Linked DNA regions of Lytechinus pictus. The protein of the gene in region 1 purifies or fractionates together with the protein of each later gene. This does not show direct contact. Links are inferred from orthologs where the notes say so. Each region holds a gene or a part of one and is shown in the gene's direction. Other genes may lie near its edges.

Evidence for each region.
Region 2: the proteins of major vault protein (region 1) and E3 ubiquitin-protein ligase COP1-like purify together in Homo sapiens (affinity purification with mass spectrometry; 3 studies listed by BioGRID and IntAct, with this or other methods). This does not show direct contact. The link is inferred for Lytechinus pictus from reciprocal best matches to the Homo sapiens genes MVP and COP1.

Annotation. Positions count from the first base shown.
Region 1 is NC_087246.1:13,798,297-13,806,125, forward strand, and holds the start of major vault protein, read left to right. Parts: upstream 1-4,687; 5' UTR 4,688-4,812; exon of another isoform or gene 4,813-5,003; intron 5,004-7,829. UniProt on the Homo sapiens protein: Required for normal vault structure. Vaults are multi-subunit structures that may act as scaffolds for proteins involved in signal transduction. Vaults may also play a role in nucleo-cytoplasmic transport.
Region 2 is NC_087259.1:28,174,964-28,183,103, reverse strand, and holds the start of E3 ubiquitin-protein ligase COP1-like, read left to right. Parts: upstream 1-4,983; 5' UTR 4,984-5,019; coding exon 5,020-5,045; intron 5,046-5,411; coding exon 5,412-5,509; intron 5,510-6,389; coding exon 6,390-6,454; intron 6,455-7,294; coding exon 7,295-7,411; intron 7,412-7,951; coding exon 7,952-8,020; intron 8,021-8,140. UniProt on the Homo sapiens protein: E3 ubiquitin-protein ligase that mediates ubiquitination and subsequent proteasomal degradation of target proteins.

The DNA of each region.
Region 1 (7,829 bases):
TTTAAGTCGATACCAAATTTAGCTGCCCGTTTTTGCCCGTTTTCATGTTAGAGCCGATTTTACTTGACACAACACCCCAAAAACCTGTTAAAAAACGGTCATTTTTATACCGCGCAGTCATCGTAGCGCACCGTATGGGTGTACATTGCCGTTCGCTTTTGCACGGCGAGGACAATTCCCTTCCATTCCATGAAAATGACATAAATTCCGGGCATAATATAAACATAATAAAGGTTGCTAACGCAAATAAGGGCTATACCCACAACTCTTCCAGAGATAAAACTTACTTGTAGAATAATTTCAGCCCAAAACCTTCCTTATAGTGATACATTCGTGGTGTTATATATACTCTGCGTTTTACATAAGTCCACACAGCTTGATAAAGCACGGTTAATATTTTTCAGATTTTATTTTATTTTTTATAAATCTAATTAATGATCATTTTGATGCCATAAAATTATTTTCGGCATCTCATACACACTTTTTAGGCATGTGAGAAGCATAAACCACTATTCACTCTGATCAATCTTAAAGTAGCACATAACACAAAGTTTATGTACTACACATTGTTTAGCGTAATTTGTCTTTTCACAGATAGGTTTTAAGTAGCCAATCAAAATTTGGTATCAAGGTGACGTCATATCGGCTTTAAATTATGTTCAGTCGATTCTACGGCCCAAATTACCCACAAGCAACATGTTAAAGTAAAAATCTAACACGGAATATAATTTTGGCGCACTTTCAACTCATTCTGGCCCACTGTGCGACGGCTTAAGGTCCTCTCCGAAGGACCTGGTAATGAGGATTAATGCCTTACCAAAGGGCAATAGCGCACCAAGTGTGAATCGAACCCGGGTCACCGGCATACGAATCCCCCGCTCTACCGACTGAGCTATCGCGCTTTTTGCACTGTCGTTAATTTTAATATTTTTGTATAGTCCTATAATTACCAAATTGTGTAATTCATTCCTTTCCACCGCCCTTTCCAAGGGGGATCCACAATTTACAAGCTTTGCTTTTTAGTGGATCCCCCTCATTTCCATTTATGCTCTATATTATACTGTTTTTTCTGTGTTTTTTTTTTACGAAGTAAGAATGCCCTTCTGTAAAATTGTACTTGATTTGTATTACTTTATATTACTTTGTATTATGTTTTGAATGGAAATGAAATAAAAGAATTGAATTGAATGATACTTCTAAACTTTTAATTATTAGGCGAAGTACAAATTTTGATTGTTTGAATGTCAGATGATTCCAATTTAGATTTAATCAAAAGATCCATTCAGAGTCCATATTTTGGAATTAATTTTCTTTAATATAAAACACAATATAGAAGTAAACAACAACAAAACAATATGCGCAAAACAAAGAAATTCTATACTCCAAAAAATGAATAATTTCATCATAACTTGACTCTGCCCCCCCCAAAAAAAAATGATATGGGCGCATAACGTTGTAGCTCTGAATTTTCATGTGTTTATTCCCATTGTTAACAAAATTCAGATATCATAATTCACAAGGTCTCCCGGTCTTGATAAGATTGTAGAACTTGATTACGAGGAAAATAGAGCGCAAAAACGTCACGCGAACAGCACTGAAACATGCGTGATATATCAAAATTTGAAAGAAAAGAAAATCAGATGTGTAACATCTTGGGCATTGAAAATTCCAGATAAAGGGCACAAAATAAGAGAGGAGATGGACGTTGAGGGATACTGAATGAAGTTTGATATTCGAAGTCGTTTACTTTTTTAAATATTTTAATACCGTATAGTACGGAACGAATTTCATGCCCACATGGGGTGAAAAGCCAAAGTAGCCTATACAGGGGGCCGCGGGACCGGGGGGCTGGGGGCTTCAGCCCCCCCCCCCCCATTTTTTTCCAAAATCGTGCATGTACAAAAACGTAAAAATTACGATCTGATTGTGATTTTTTGCATGGTCATTCCCTCCCCCCTTTCAAAACCGTTCCGCGGCCCCTGCATGGGGAGTAGCATTTGGATATATAGAGTTACCCGCTCCCACCAGGAGACTATGCCGCCCATAGGCGGATCCATATATATATATATATATATATTTATATGTATATATATAAATAAATATATATATATATATAATGTGCGTTCACATCCACTTCACAATATTCCTACACAGTGCTTGAAAAAGAGCTAAATTAAAATTTTTCAGATCGGAATATCAAATATTTTCAGCTCGCGGTTCGTGCTCGCATTATTGATTTTATGATGATAGAAAAATGCATTCAGAATGCCCAGATTCTGAGGTCTAACTCTAAAACAAGCACACGCATGTATATTGAGATACACAGCTTGTTCTCGGATTTAAAACGTGTTTAAATTATCCAATTTCATATCAGAATATCAAAAACTTTCTGCTCGCTCTTCGCGCTCGCATTACAGTGTAGAAAAAAATAACAAATTTATCATCGTTTTTCATGATTTACAAAACATGAAGTGTCAAGATTCAGGTCTAATATCTCTTTTTTTTTCCGGTCGCGCTTTTGCGCTTGCATCAATAACCTATCACCTATCCCGTTCATGATTACAAAAATTGCTTAAAATGTCCATTTTTAGGTCGGAATTTTGTTTGGATCGCGCTTCGCATAACAGGTCCCTTTTCGATTAGGCCTGAACGCATTTTAAACATTTCTGTTGCGCGCTCGCAGTATAGTTATCTCGTTACATATACGCATTTTTTCAGGATCACAAACATTTATAATGTTAAAGGAGAATGAAACCTTTGAAACAAGATAGCTTGTGTGAAAACAGAAAAATCAAAGAAACAGATCAACGAAAGTTTGAGAAAAATCGGACAAATAATGATAAAGTTATGAGCATTTGAATATTGCGATCACTAATGCTATGGAGATCCTCACATTGGCAATGGGACAAAGATGTGTGATGTCACTTGTGAACAACTCTCCCCAGTACTTTACTATATATTTCACTTAAACTGCCTCTTTTATCACATCTATCAGTAGATCATGTGTTCTTTCTATAGGAGGGCATGTAATACAGATTTTTAAAGAATACATCATGGATAAAGAGATTGTGTCACCTTAAGAAAAAGCAAATAGAGACATTTGGGGGGTATTTTAGAGTCCATCAAAGGGAAAGTTGTTCACATGTGACATCACCACTGAACTAGAAATATCTCTAGTTCAGTGGACATCACACATCCTTGTCACATTGCCAATGGGAGGATCTACATAGCATTAATGATTGCAATATTCAAATGCTCATAACTTTCTCATTATTTGTCCGATTTTTCTCAAACTTTCTTTGTTCTTATTCTTTGATTATTGTGTTTCGACACAAGCCTATTTGTACCAAAGGTTTCATTCCCCTTTAAATTTTCAGACAAAACACATGACATTTCCAAAAAAAAAACATTTAGCTAACGCTTCGCGCTCGCACTATATAAAAAACAAGGTTTTTGAGATTATAACACATTTATGTTGTTTTATAAGAATAAAGCTAAGAAGTGACTGTTAGGACTACCCCTTCAAAGAAACAAATAAACATCAATTTTGAGCGGCCCATCGGGGATCCACTGATTCCATATTTCATATCCATATTTCATTTTATTGTTCGAAATAGACATGAAATGAAATATTCCGAAAATTTGCTGTGCCCAATTGATCTTGGGCCCGGTATAGCCGCTGTGCAGCGCCAGATCGACGATGCTCTATGCCTTTATTCGTTGAACGCCAATCAGGGGAGCAATTCCCAACTTTTTAAACTTCTTTTGGTCTGACGTGGCCGGGGTTTGAACTCCCGACCTCCCGGTTGTGAGACGGACGCTCTAACCTACTGAGCGTGGAAAAATCGGGCCCCCTGTTGGCGGATGCCTGACCCACCCCTGATGCCACCCATTTCATTAAGAGTTACAAATATATTACCATGGTAACAGGGATCAGCAGCCAAACAAAAGCAAGGGTATAAGTTGTAGGTCTTCATCGGGGTCTTATAGTGCGGGAATTTGTGTCACTAATAGGAAAGGGGGAAAATTATGACTTTTCATACTCTACTAAAAGGTCCACACCCGAAAGTATATTTTATTACTTGCTGGCAAGATATAACTATAACCGAGGCTCGGTTGAGAAAGGATCATGATAAAGGGGAGTATCGTCATTAATAAGTGCGGAACTTCAAAATTGATTTCATACTAATTTAGAATTAGAGAGAAGGGGGAGAGGGGGCTCTCGTTTATGTTTATAATATATATTTTATTTATTTATTCACTTATTTGAAGGAGAAAAAAATACTCACAATCCTAATGGCTCTATCCTCGTTTGTTCCCCTTTCTGTGGGTGTTTTTCGTTTTTGGGCGATCATCATCACCCGGGATCACTCCTGCCTTTCCCCGGCTTTGCGCCTGACTTTTCAGAGGGCCTAGAATAGCTCTAAGCTATTAGTTTTCCACCACGTTTGTCGAACTTACGAAAAAGGAACCAGAGTACCCCCCCCCCCCCCCCCCCCCCCCTCTTCCCTCTCGTTTACAGCAATCGACCGATGTCAATAAACTACGTCACACTCATTTTGTTATGCAAATTTCCCTTTAATTCACACAGGGCCAGGGGTTGGGAACCAATGCAAGCCCATTGATTGGTCGACGGTTGCACCATCGCTTGGAAAGCCAATTATGTCATGATCTATTTTGGGTTGCCATTGAGACGCGTGTGAATCCGGAAGCATTCACCGCCGTATTTTATTTTTTGCATGCATATTGCATACAGCACTTGCAATAGTCATCCATCGGGAGGGAACAGAGCCGAGTCGAGAGCCGAGCAAGGTGAGTATATAAGAACAAGTAAATTGGTATTCAATCTTACTAGATCCAAAGATTGAGAATGGCTCATCTTTAGAAATATTCACAGACTATTTTAGTACTTCACAGTGGCAGTAGTAGTGGTGAAATGGAGTGATGCTGCCCATTTTTGTCAGACTGAGCTGAGACTCGACTGAGGGAGAGGTGAGTTGATTGTGAGTGGACTGCACTGCTGGTGGTGCCCAGTAAAAGGGGGTGCTGGTCACTCCTAGTTAGCTAGTACCAATGAGGTCCAAACATTACATGTATGGACCTCATAGGCGACATCAGTAGTATTTTTGGTTAGAAATCTCTGAGAACAGGATATTTCTATATTATATCACAAGTACAAGCTATATTCCTTTCTCTTATTTAAATTATAATTTTATAGTGTGAATGCATCGTTAGCAACAACAAAAAAATGAAAGAAATGAAGGGGAACTTACATTTTCACGGCTTTTTCCTGATTTTCTGGGCAGTTGCTCTTCACTTCTGACTCGCGATCGAAGCTGATATGAAGATCACGTGATTCGCGTTCTCGTCAGCTGATCGGTTGATTATTCTTTTTGTCAGACGTTAATAATATATATTTTATAATGCTAGCATTCATCGCTAATTTAGGTGAAAGAGATTGAAGTTAAACAGCGCCAGGTCGGAATCATAATTATTTTGGAAGAGTCTATTTATACACTCGATCTCATACCTGACGTAGACGGCGCTATTCAACAAATGCACAATCTTCAATATAAAAAATAAAACAGAAAGAACGCCTTGAACACAGGCCAAAATGCCTAACGATTTATCCGCGGCATTAACAACTATCGTAAAGGGCGCTCCATTTATTAATAAAGATGGACGTATAGCTGTCTATGGCGACAAAATTTGCCGCAAATATTTACGAAGAATTGTGAGAAATGGTCTGAAAATGCAACAAAAGAACCGGTGAGTACCGATTTAATATTATCAATTTATTCAATAGAACATATTTCATGACTATAGTTTAACAATTTCTAGATAATATTGCTTAGTTCTAAGCTAGGGCGGCCCAAATGCGCGTGAGTGGAGTCCCAGTTTATTAACACGGGTAAGTATTGGGGTGTCGCCTAGAGTGGTGCTGGTGGTGCCCAGTAAGTCACTGTTTTTCCCCCTTTTAAGTTTATTTTTCCCGTTTTGGTGCATTTCAGGCCAGAATAGAATAATAATCTTTATTTTGGACAAGTTCTTTTTACATATTGTTATGAAATAAAGACAAAAATCGATGAGCCCCGACGGGGGGATTTTGCATTGTTAACCCCCTAATGGTGGCTGCCCGATAGCAAGCCGTCTGTGTATGAGGAGAAAAAAAAAAAAATGTTAGTATACTAATACTAACCTCGCAATACGTGTGAGTGGTGGTGATGGATGGTGTTTTGACTTGGAGTTGAGCAGAGCTTAGAGATCTGATGACAGGGGCCGCGGAACGGTTTTCAAAGGTGGGGGGGGGGCTGACCATGTACAAAATCACAATCGTATGGTCATTTTTGTGTTTTTGTACACGGTTTTGGAAAAAAGTGGGGGGGCTGAAGCCCCCCAGCCCCCCCCGCTTCCGCGGCCCCTGGATGATGATGATTTTCATTTGGATGGGAGGGGGTGGGGGAGGCATGTTTCAGCTAAAATTCTTTGCAGACCCAATACAATCTATTCAAGTTTTATGATCTGTTGTCATTGATAGAAAAAAGCTTCAGTCTCTGTACATAGTTCTTTTTTTTAGTTGGTCCGGTAATTTAATAAGCCTAAACTATGTTATACATCCTAGACCAAAAGCTTCGGTCTCTGTTATGTTGGTTGTTCCGCTGAACTCCGCAAGCTCCACTCACCAAATACAGAGACCGAAGTTCTAACTCGATCTGTACAGGGATTTAATGGCCATATGTTTCTGTATTAAGTTCGGATAAACCAGGAAGTGGGAGTTGCGCGACAGCCAAAGTAAGCCACTGTTTTTCCCCCTTTTAAGTTTATTTTTCCTGTTTTGGTGCATTTCAGGCCAGAATAGAATAATAATCTTTATTTTGGACAAGTTCTTTTTATATATTGTTATGAAATAAAGACAAAAATCGATGAGCCCCGACGGGGGGATTTTGCATTGTTGACCCCCTAATGGTGGCTGCCCGATAGCAAGCCGTCTGTGTATGAGGAGAAAAAAAAAATGTTTTAAAAAATCCTAAAAACGGACGGCTGCCAGCTGTCTATGTTCATCCATGACATCGGGGTCTGGGGATGTTAGGTCAAAGGAAAATGCATTCAATGAACAAGATTATGATTATTGATATAACCTTGTTCTCTTTTAGTACTCCATGTGTGGCAAAATAAGGTTGGCAATGTTTGGCTTATTTTTCTCTTTTTCATTGGAACAAATCATGCTTGATTGTTTGACTTTGACACTGAGATTCCATTACAGCTAATCATCATATAACTTGGCCCGTAAGTAAATTTGATTCTTTTAATTATTTTTTCTAAATTAAAAATAGACATTGAAAAATGAAAATTTCCATGCCATTATTACTTTACTCCAATAGAGGGTGTACACAGAAATATGCCCCAAATTCAAGTTTTTGAACGCTCTGGTGAATACAAAAATTATTCCCATGTTACTAAAGAAAAATAAATTGCAACTGTATGGAAATTAGTATTTTTGGTCACAAACATGTTATTTTAATGATTTTTTAAAGTGTGTGTTGCATACTGCAAAGTGGGAGAATGCCAGAAAAAAATGCGGTTATGAATTCCCGTCTAACGTTAATTAAGCTTTGGTCATGTTGGTATTTGATAAACTATTTCAGTTTAAAACAATGGGCATAACAATGGTAGGCTAGGCACTGGCACTACTTGTAGATTTATGCTGCAGACACGTGCCCAAACAGTCAATACATGAGCTGGCCCCAACTGTTCTTATATTTTGAGTGAACCATGTAGTGCGCAGAATTTGTTTTTCTTCAGTCTTAAAATGACTGCCCGAGCTTTTT
Region 2 (8,140 bases), on another chromosome or scaffold:
ACCGGATGTGGTTTATAAAGATATATAGGTCAATCGATATCTATTGTTAGGTTAAGAGTAAGGATCAGGACATCATGTAAAGGGTGTACATGCTAGCTCGGAAGGACAGGAGTGGAAAAGTAGATCAGCCAATTACCTAATTGTGAAAACAAATCCTCTTCTTTTTAACCTTCTTTCAAGCCTAAAATTCAATTTTTCTTTAAAATTTTGAAAAATGTAGTCCTACCAAAAACCATCATTCTTACAAGTTTCAAAAATCACGTTTCTTGGAGAAAATCCATGCAGCGTGTTTCCTTCCCCTTAAAAATCCCACACTTAGTCTTAGGCAACTTTTAAGAAGTCACCATGTAATCAAAATAATGTTTGCCTCACTGTAATGGAAACCTTACGATAAATAGACATAAGGAGAAAATTTTGTCCATTGACATCGTATGCCATTATGTTACCTGGTTATTGTTCATTCGTTCACTGTTTGAGGTTCATGGGTGGAATCCCGAACCAACTGGAGAGTTGCAGCTCTGTAATTACCGATAGCTTGAAGTAGAAGTTCGCCTTGGTGAGAAACACGCGGTGAAACTGTTCAGTATAGGACTTACCTTTAATTTTCAAATGGAATCTCAAAAAAAAAAAAAAATGCATACATGCCCCCTCCCCACTGCCATGTCATCACCATCGCCATAATCATCATTGACATATAACTATTGTAATCATCAAACTTTTAGGATTATTATCATAATTATTCTCGGCACCTTCATCACTATATCATTATCACCGTCAACATCATAAAACATTAATTAATCATCACCGAGGGGGCCGAAGCAGGGGATATATCCTATGTTCATAGGGTGCATCAATATTTGTCCCCCATCGCAAAATATTATCTTCTGATCCGCCGCCCATGATCATCACTATTATTGCTATTCTCGGGATTATTTCATAATTCTAATGATCAATTATTAAGATCATTATTACCATCATCATAATCTCAACATTATAATTATCATCATCACCATTCTTGTCATTGCCATCATCGTTAGGATTACAATCACAATCATCACCATCATGATCACCGTCATTACCTTTCTTTTCGATATCATCATCACGATCATAATACCCATCACTGTCATCACGATCATAATAACCATCACTGTCATCACGTAAGTTACTCAGAAAACTGATTTAAAGACTGCCTAATTCGACGAATTATTCACTCAATTATTGTTTCAAACGTAAACTTAAGTTAATGCTGCATCGTACTGATGAGCTGCAAATAATAATAATTGTAATTGTGTTTTTCTATTCTTTCTTTCAGTATACTCTCTATTAATGAATGAACACAAAATTATCATAACGGGGATCATAGTAGGTGGAGAAATAGGAAGAAAAGAGAGAATTATAGGGAGGTAAATTATGTGATATTCCCTCAAAACAATTATCATGCTTGAAACAAAATCACTAAATCTATTTTTTAACACTTAAGAGGTCCATATTTTGGTAATTCTTAGCTTACATTCGTGTAATTGCACGCAAGTTAAATCAATCCATTATAGGGCTCGGGTCTCATTAGAAAAAAAAAACCCGGTATAGTGGTAGAATTAATGATAACATCGATGATTATGATAATAATGATAATAGAAATAATAGTAGTAGTAGTAATAATAATGATGCAAAAAGCTATGTGACTCTAAATACGGGCCTTGAGATTTGGCTCAGCCAGCAAAGAGTCAACATCAGGCAGATACTCGGACCCTAGCTAGAGCTGGAGAAGGAAGAAACAAAATGGATAATTATTGGTTGGGTCTGAGCATGTAATAGGTCCATGGTCTGAGGGACGATTGTGAGTAATCTATTTCAACGTTAACAATTTAAGTACTTTGCTTGGGACAGCTGCGCTGGCATACAAACTCGTAGTCAGCGTCTATCAACCCATTTCATTTCGCAGGCGCGCGCGTACGGCGGAGAACTGAGGCCAGGAACGTGAACCAAGATTGTTTGCTGGCCTGGCCAGGCATGTGATGCGCGGCCGAGTAGATTCTAGATTCTTATTCTAAAGCAGAGCGATTCCACTGATCGCTACATGTGAGTTGTTTTCCAAGCCAATCAGTTATCGAAAATGTAATTCAAAGAAATAATCTATGCCCATAATCTTTGCGAATGATATAGAAAAGGTTCGCTGATTGGAGTCCTATCGCGATAATTATCGCAGCTCGAGACAGTAGTTCGCGGCCGTGGCCGTGCGCCGAATCACCGGCAAGAACACGGCGATATCTGCCTCAGACTGGCCTGACGTTCACGCGCGTGAATATTGCGATAGTCAGACCCACATTGGTTAGCGCGTTTCACGTGCGTTATCTGTCAACTTTATTTCGAGCGATACTGTATCTGTATATGCATGTACTCTACTCTATTCGCTTCTTCTTTCTCTCTCTTTCTGTCACCTTATCTTTCCATGGGGCATGGTGGAGGTACGTTCAATAAATCACGGGGGGGGGCCTTTTTTTTTCATACCCATATTGAAATGTATTTGACCACACTGGTCCACCCACTGTGACAAGAGGTGACGAGAGTGAACCCTGGGAAGATTGCTTTTTGTGCCAAAAAATCCTTCCTCGTTCCCAGGCCCAATAGGCATGCGGCTAATACACATCCAGATATACAGTACTGCAATATCTATCAGATTGATTTCCACATTATCAAGTGATACCTTAGTTTGTGCAATTCTACATGTACATGATAAACCCTCAAATTGGCAACATCTGCTATTTACCAGCCCATTTTATTTGTATAAATTGGTAAGATAATTAAGTTTTAAAGTTTTTGAAGATGAACATCTGCACACAAAGGAGAAACTGAAAAAAAAACTCCATGGCCTGTATTCTGAAGTTGGGTTAAATTCAAACTGTGGTCTGAAGTTGTGGTTTAACTATAGAAAGTCAATTTGTTGCATCGATTCCTAACAGTAGAGGTTCAATGTTATCAGCTCAGTTGACTCTCGAATCATTCTTAAAGGACAAGTCCACCCCAACAAAAAGTTGTTTAAAGAAAAAGAGAAAAATCAGTTATGTGCACATCCTGGTCTGTATGCAAATGAGGGGACTGATGATGTCACCCGCTTACTATTTCTTTTGTATTTTATTATATGAAATATTCTAATTTTCTCCTCATGGTAATGTAAAAGAAGTTTTATTTTCCCTGAATATGTGGAATTACCATTGTTTTTAAAATTTATGGTTCAGTTAAGTTGGTCCTTATTGTCAAATTTGTAAAAATTGAAATATTTTATAATTCAAACATTAAAAAACAAAAGATATAGTGAGTGAGGGACATCAACTCTCATTTGCATGTCACTGAGTTCTGCATATAACTATTTTGTGAATAATAAGCAAAACTTTAAAATGTCATACATGTGTAACTTATTTAACATCCGATTTTGATGAAATTTTTCAACATTGTGCTTGTTAATTTTTTCTATATTGATTCAAATTAACATTTTTCGGGGGTGGACTTGACCTTTAACTGTTTGTGAAAGATATAGTCAACTCCACCATCAAAGACTTTATAAGAAAGAGCAAAGTAAACACAATAAACTTAAAATGTACACAAAATTTTGACATATTTGGCTTTCCATAATTTCAGCACAGAGTTAGACCATGGTCTAATAAAGTTAAACCAGAATACGGGTCATTTTGGTGAATAGATTTTTTCCCCTATTTGCTTCAACCATGCAGTTTAACAAGAATTTATATGTACCTATTTAAGATGAAATGAACAAAAAATGTTAACTATGTACATGTATTTATATAAAGTATTAAACCAGACAGCTAGGCTAATAATAGAAAAACTTGACAGTTTCAGTTTTGCTACATGTGTAGTATGATATGAGGCATTTGAAATAGACCATCATTTATAAAAGTGGTTAATGATTTCAATGCTTCCTTAAAAAGAGCAAGTCCACACCAACAAAAAAGTTGGTTTGAATGAAAAGAGAAAAATCAAACTAGTATCCATGTAGCACTGAAAATTTCATCAAAATCAAATGTAAAATTAAAAAGGTTATGTTATAAAGTTTTCCTTAATATCACAAAACGATGCGCACCATGGTCAATATGAGAAGACCTACTTTACCCAATCACTATTTTATATGAAATGTAAAATATAATAATGTATATAAATATAGCCGCTTCATACAGGTGTTTCAAAGCACACAGGTGGGCAGACTAATATAAACAATGAATCCATTAAAATATATATATAAATATATATATACATATCTTGATGTTTACCTCCTCATAATGCAAAACAAGTTTTATTTCCTTTCTAAAGATATGGAGTTGCCATTGTTGCGAAGTTCTAGTAGTTGCAACAATACATGTACTGTTTTGTGATTCATAAAGATATACATGTATTATCTCCAAATTTCTATGGCCATTAAAATATAAATCAGAATATTTCCAAGACACATTTACATGTAGGTCACTAGATACCTGTACATGTATGCTGTAACTTAAAAAAATAAATAAACAGTCATGTTAGAATGTTTGATGATACTTTAGTCTAATTCAAATTATCTGAATTATTTCTGTTTCTGATATATTCATTTGTAATTTGTGTCCCTGATGTGATAAATACTTTTTCACGTGCACTTTCCTGTTCATCATGTTATGCATCAAGAGTCTCACAACAGTTTTAATGTTTTTAGTGATTACATGATAATAAAATGAATTGAATTGAACATTTACCAAAGATTTAGATAGCTTTGATATCGAATGTTTTCAACCACCCCCTTCTATACTCAATTTTGTTTATCTTTTACCTATAGATGCTCATGAATTTTGTGATATCGAATTTTTAAAGTCTCTTTTGGAGACATTTGTAGACATGTTAACACTCTCATTCACATTTATTAATACCTTTTTCCTGGAAATTTACAATATCATTCTTCTGTGAGAAATTACTAATTCTAGATCATGTATTGTATCTTTCAGTCCAATCTGTTTTGAAGTTATTGAGGAGGCGCATATGACAAGATGTGGACACAGTTTCTGGTAAGATGAAATCAGTGAAGCTTTCTAATTGCATGTTAATATGTTTGTTGGCAATACAATTGAACTTCTTGTGGTACCTACCATGACTACATGATAATAACGATTACTGATATAATAACAATAGTTATAATTTAGAAAGGGCATCTTCCATTTAAGGCGCATTAGACCAAATTAAAAATAAAACATAAATTACATTTAATATTGATTTGAAACTTTAACAATGAATGAATTATATGGATGTCTGTCAAAAAACACTCTTATGCAGGTTATGTTATCAGGTAATATAACCACACACATACAGAATAAAGCACAAACATCTTACATTCTTCTGTTCTTAAAATTTTATGTTTTTTTTTTCTTTCTTAGCCGGAGATGTATATTGCGAAGCCTGGAGACAAGCAACAGATGTCCAAAGTGCAATTTTGTTATAGAGAAGACTGACCAAATATTTCCAAATTTTGCCTGTAAGTTTTGTACATTATTGCGAGGTAATGCGATATTGTACATACGAGTTGACGAGTTGATAGGAGACTAAATTAGGGAGCCAAGGTGAAAGCATTATACTGCACTATTGGTTTTGCAAATTGTCTTTATTCTGTGTTTAATGTGTTTGCAAGGAATGCAGTGTTGTATAAGTGACCGTAGAAGTTTTCTGGAGGTTGCTTGTGACTCTGTGACAACATGCAATACAGTTTCTTGGAGGCTGTGGGCAGGTGCCTTGTGTAATTAGAGTTGTTTTGTTTTGATATTAATGAAGACGGAGAATATATATTTATGACAAGATCCATAGATGGGTACTGGGCATAATGGTCCAAGTTCACAAAGACAAAAAGCAATAAAGCAACTAATTATTGGAATTATTTAATTGTGCACATTATATGTAGGAGGTGAACAAAACCACCAGTGATATAAACCTAATTTGCTTTGCTTTTTCATATAATAGCATGTACCTGTACTCATATTGCCTTGTAAATTTTTATGTCAACAGGTCTTTGAAATGCATTTTAGATGTTTTGAATTGATAATCAAAGTTTGAAAGAGTTCATATTTTACAATCTGCATGTACATGTAGCTGCATTTCAGTAAAATAATTATTCTTGTACAAAAGACTCCCAATTTCTCCAATCCTTTTGGCACTTCACGGTGATTTGATAGCTTTACAACTTTTCATATGAATTTGAGAACAGAGACAATCCTTTTAGGAAGCTCCCACATAAAGACATCAATAAATCATGGAATTGTTTTAAAGTGAATGCGATATAACACACATAGTTTTCACTTTGTTTGGTACACTGTATATTATCTTGATTTTTACCTCTCTTCTCTCTCTCTCTCTCTTTGCAGTGAATGAACTTATTCTGAAGTACAGACAAAGAGTTGAAGAGAAAAGGTTAAAACTTGGCCCTCAGGTAAGAAGCCTTAGATTCACGAAAGTTCTACGTGTAGCTTTACCACAGGTAAAAAATTGATAGTTCATTTTTAGGGACTTCTATACACAACCTACTGCCCAAATCTGTAATATTGGACAAGCTTATCCAATATTACAGATTTGTGCAGTAGGTTATGTAAACAATCTAATGTGGGTTTTCCAAAGCTCTTTTGACCATTTGGGGGCAAAATCACCCTGAGCCCCTGTGTAATTTTTTCCATTGCTTTACCAGGGAAATATATGGTTACATAAAATGCAGTCTGATTCTTCTCACTGTAAAGGTCGCTAGAACTTATATTGTTTGTAGAATAATACAAATTCTGAAACTATTGTATAGATGTGACATCACATATTGGTTTAGGGAAGAGTAATGACAGCCTTAATTCAGTTTGGTTGAATTATAAAGGAGATTCTGTTTGTAATACTACATGAAATGAGAAATATGGAACATGTGAGCAAAAGTCTTCCTCTCAACTGATCGATTGTTAAATATCATTTTGAAAAATTGAGTCAGATTTTCACTGTTTGAAAACACTTGCCATGGATATTACCATATCATGCATTTAGATTTATCAATACGCTAATTTTACTGGAAAATTGAAAAGGCCATTATATTGTTTTTAAATAGCTAAATTTTCACTCAAGAGTATTTAGAAATACTTTCCATGGAAGATTACAATATTAATATAAGGCTTTAATACAGATTAATGATTTCAAACTTTTAGTGAACTATTTCCAAATATTAGCATGCGCTATTTTCAATGTAAAAAACAACAACATTAGAACAAGGCTATTACATACATTGATTGATTTCTCTTAGACTGGTGGTCCTACACCTGATGTTCAAGAATTTATTCAAGACCAAGAGAAATGGGATCTAGCAGAAGTCAACCTCATGTTAGAAGTACTAGTCAGCAAGAAAAGGAAGCTGGAGATGGTATGAAATAAATAACTCTCATATGATTTTATAACAGGGAGATATTGCTGCATTATGTAGCAGAAGACAATGAAGTCGTAATTATGATAATAATAACTAATAAGTATATTGTAATTGATGTCTCAGAATGGGATACCAGAAATATTCCAAGAGTTAGGGCTAATATTACATGAAGTGCATTTAATTGGAATATTGGCTCTAACAGTTGAAATATTTATGGTATTCCATGACATAAAGCCATCCAATATTATCATAATTATCTATCCCACCCCCCCCCCCCAAAAAAAGGGGGAATTGTATTGAGCAAGTCGTGTCATTTACAGCCTCACTTCATGGGATCAAATTAATGCGACTTTTGTAGTTCATTATAACGTCATTAAGCATCATTGCGCTCTATGCTGCACATTGCTTTCATGAATCTTATACCTAAAATCATAGTAGATATCATTGAATTAAAATATTCAGATTCTAGTAGGACTATTCAATTAATTATTGATATAATAATATTCTTTTTTATTTTGCTTTTTGTTTCTACCATAGGACAACCAGGTAGCCCAGATCCAGATCCTGAAAGATTTTCTTGATGAAGCCAGGAGAAAAAAGCTAGAAGTAAGAAGACAATTCTGTAATAAAATCTCATTGATGTAACATTTTTAGATCTCAATATACATGTACATCTGAACAGTATTCATTCTGGTTTAAAGTATGAAGCCATTTCAACAGTATGTG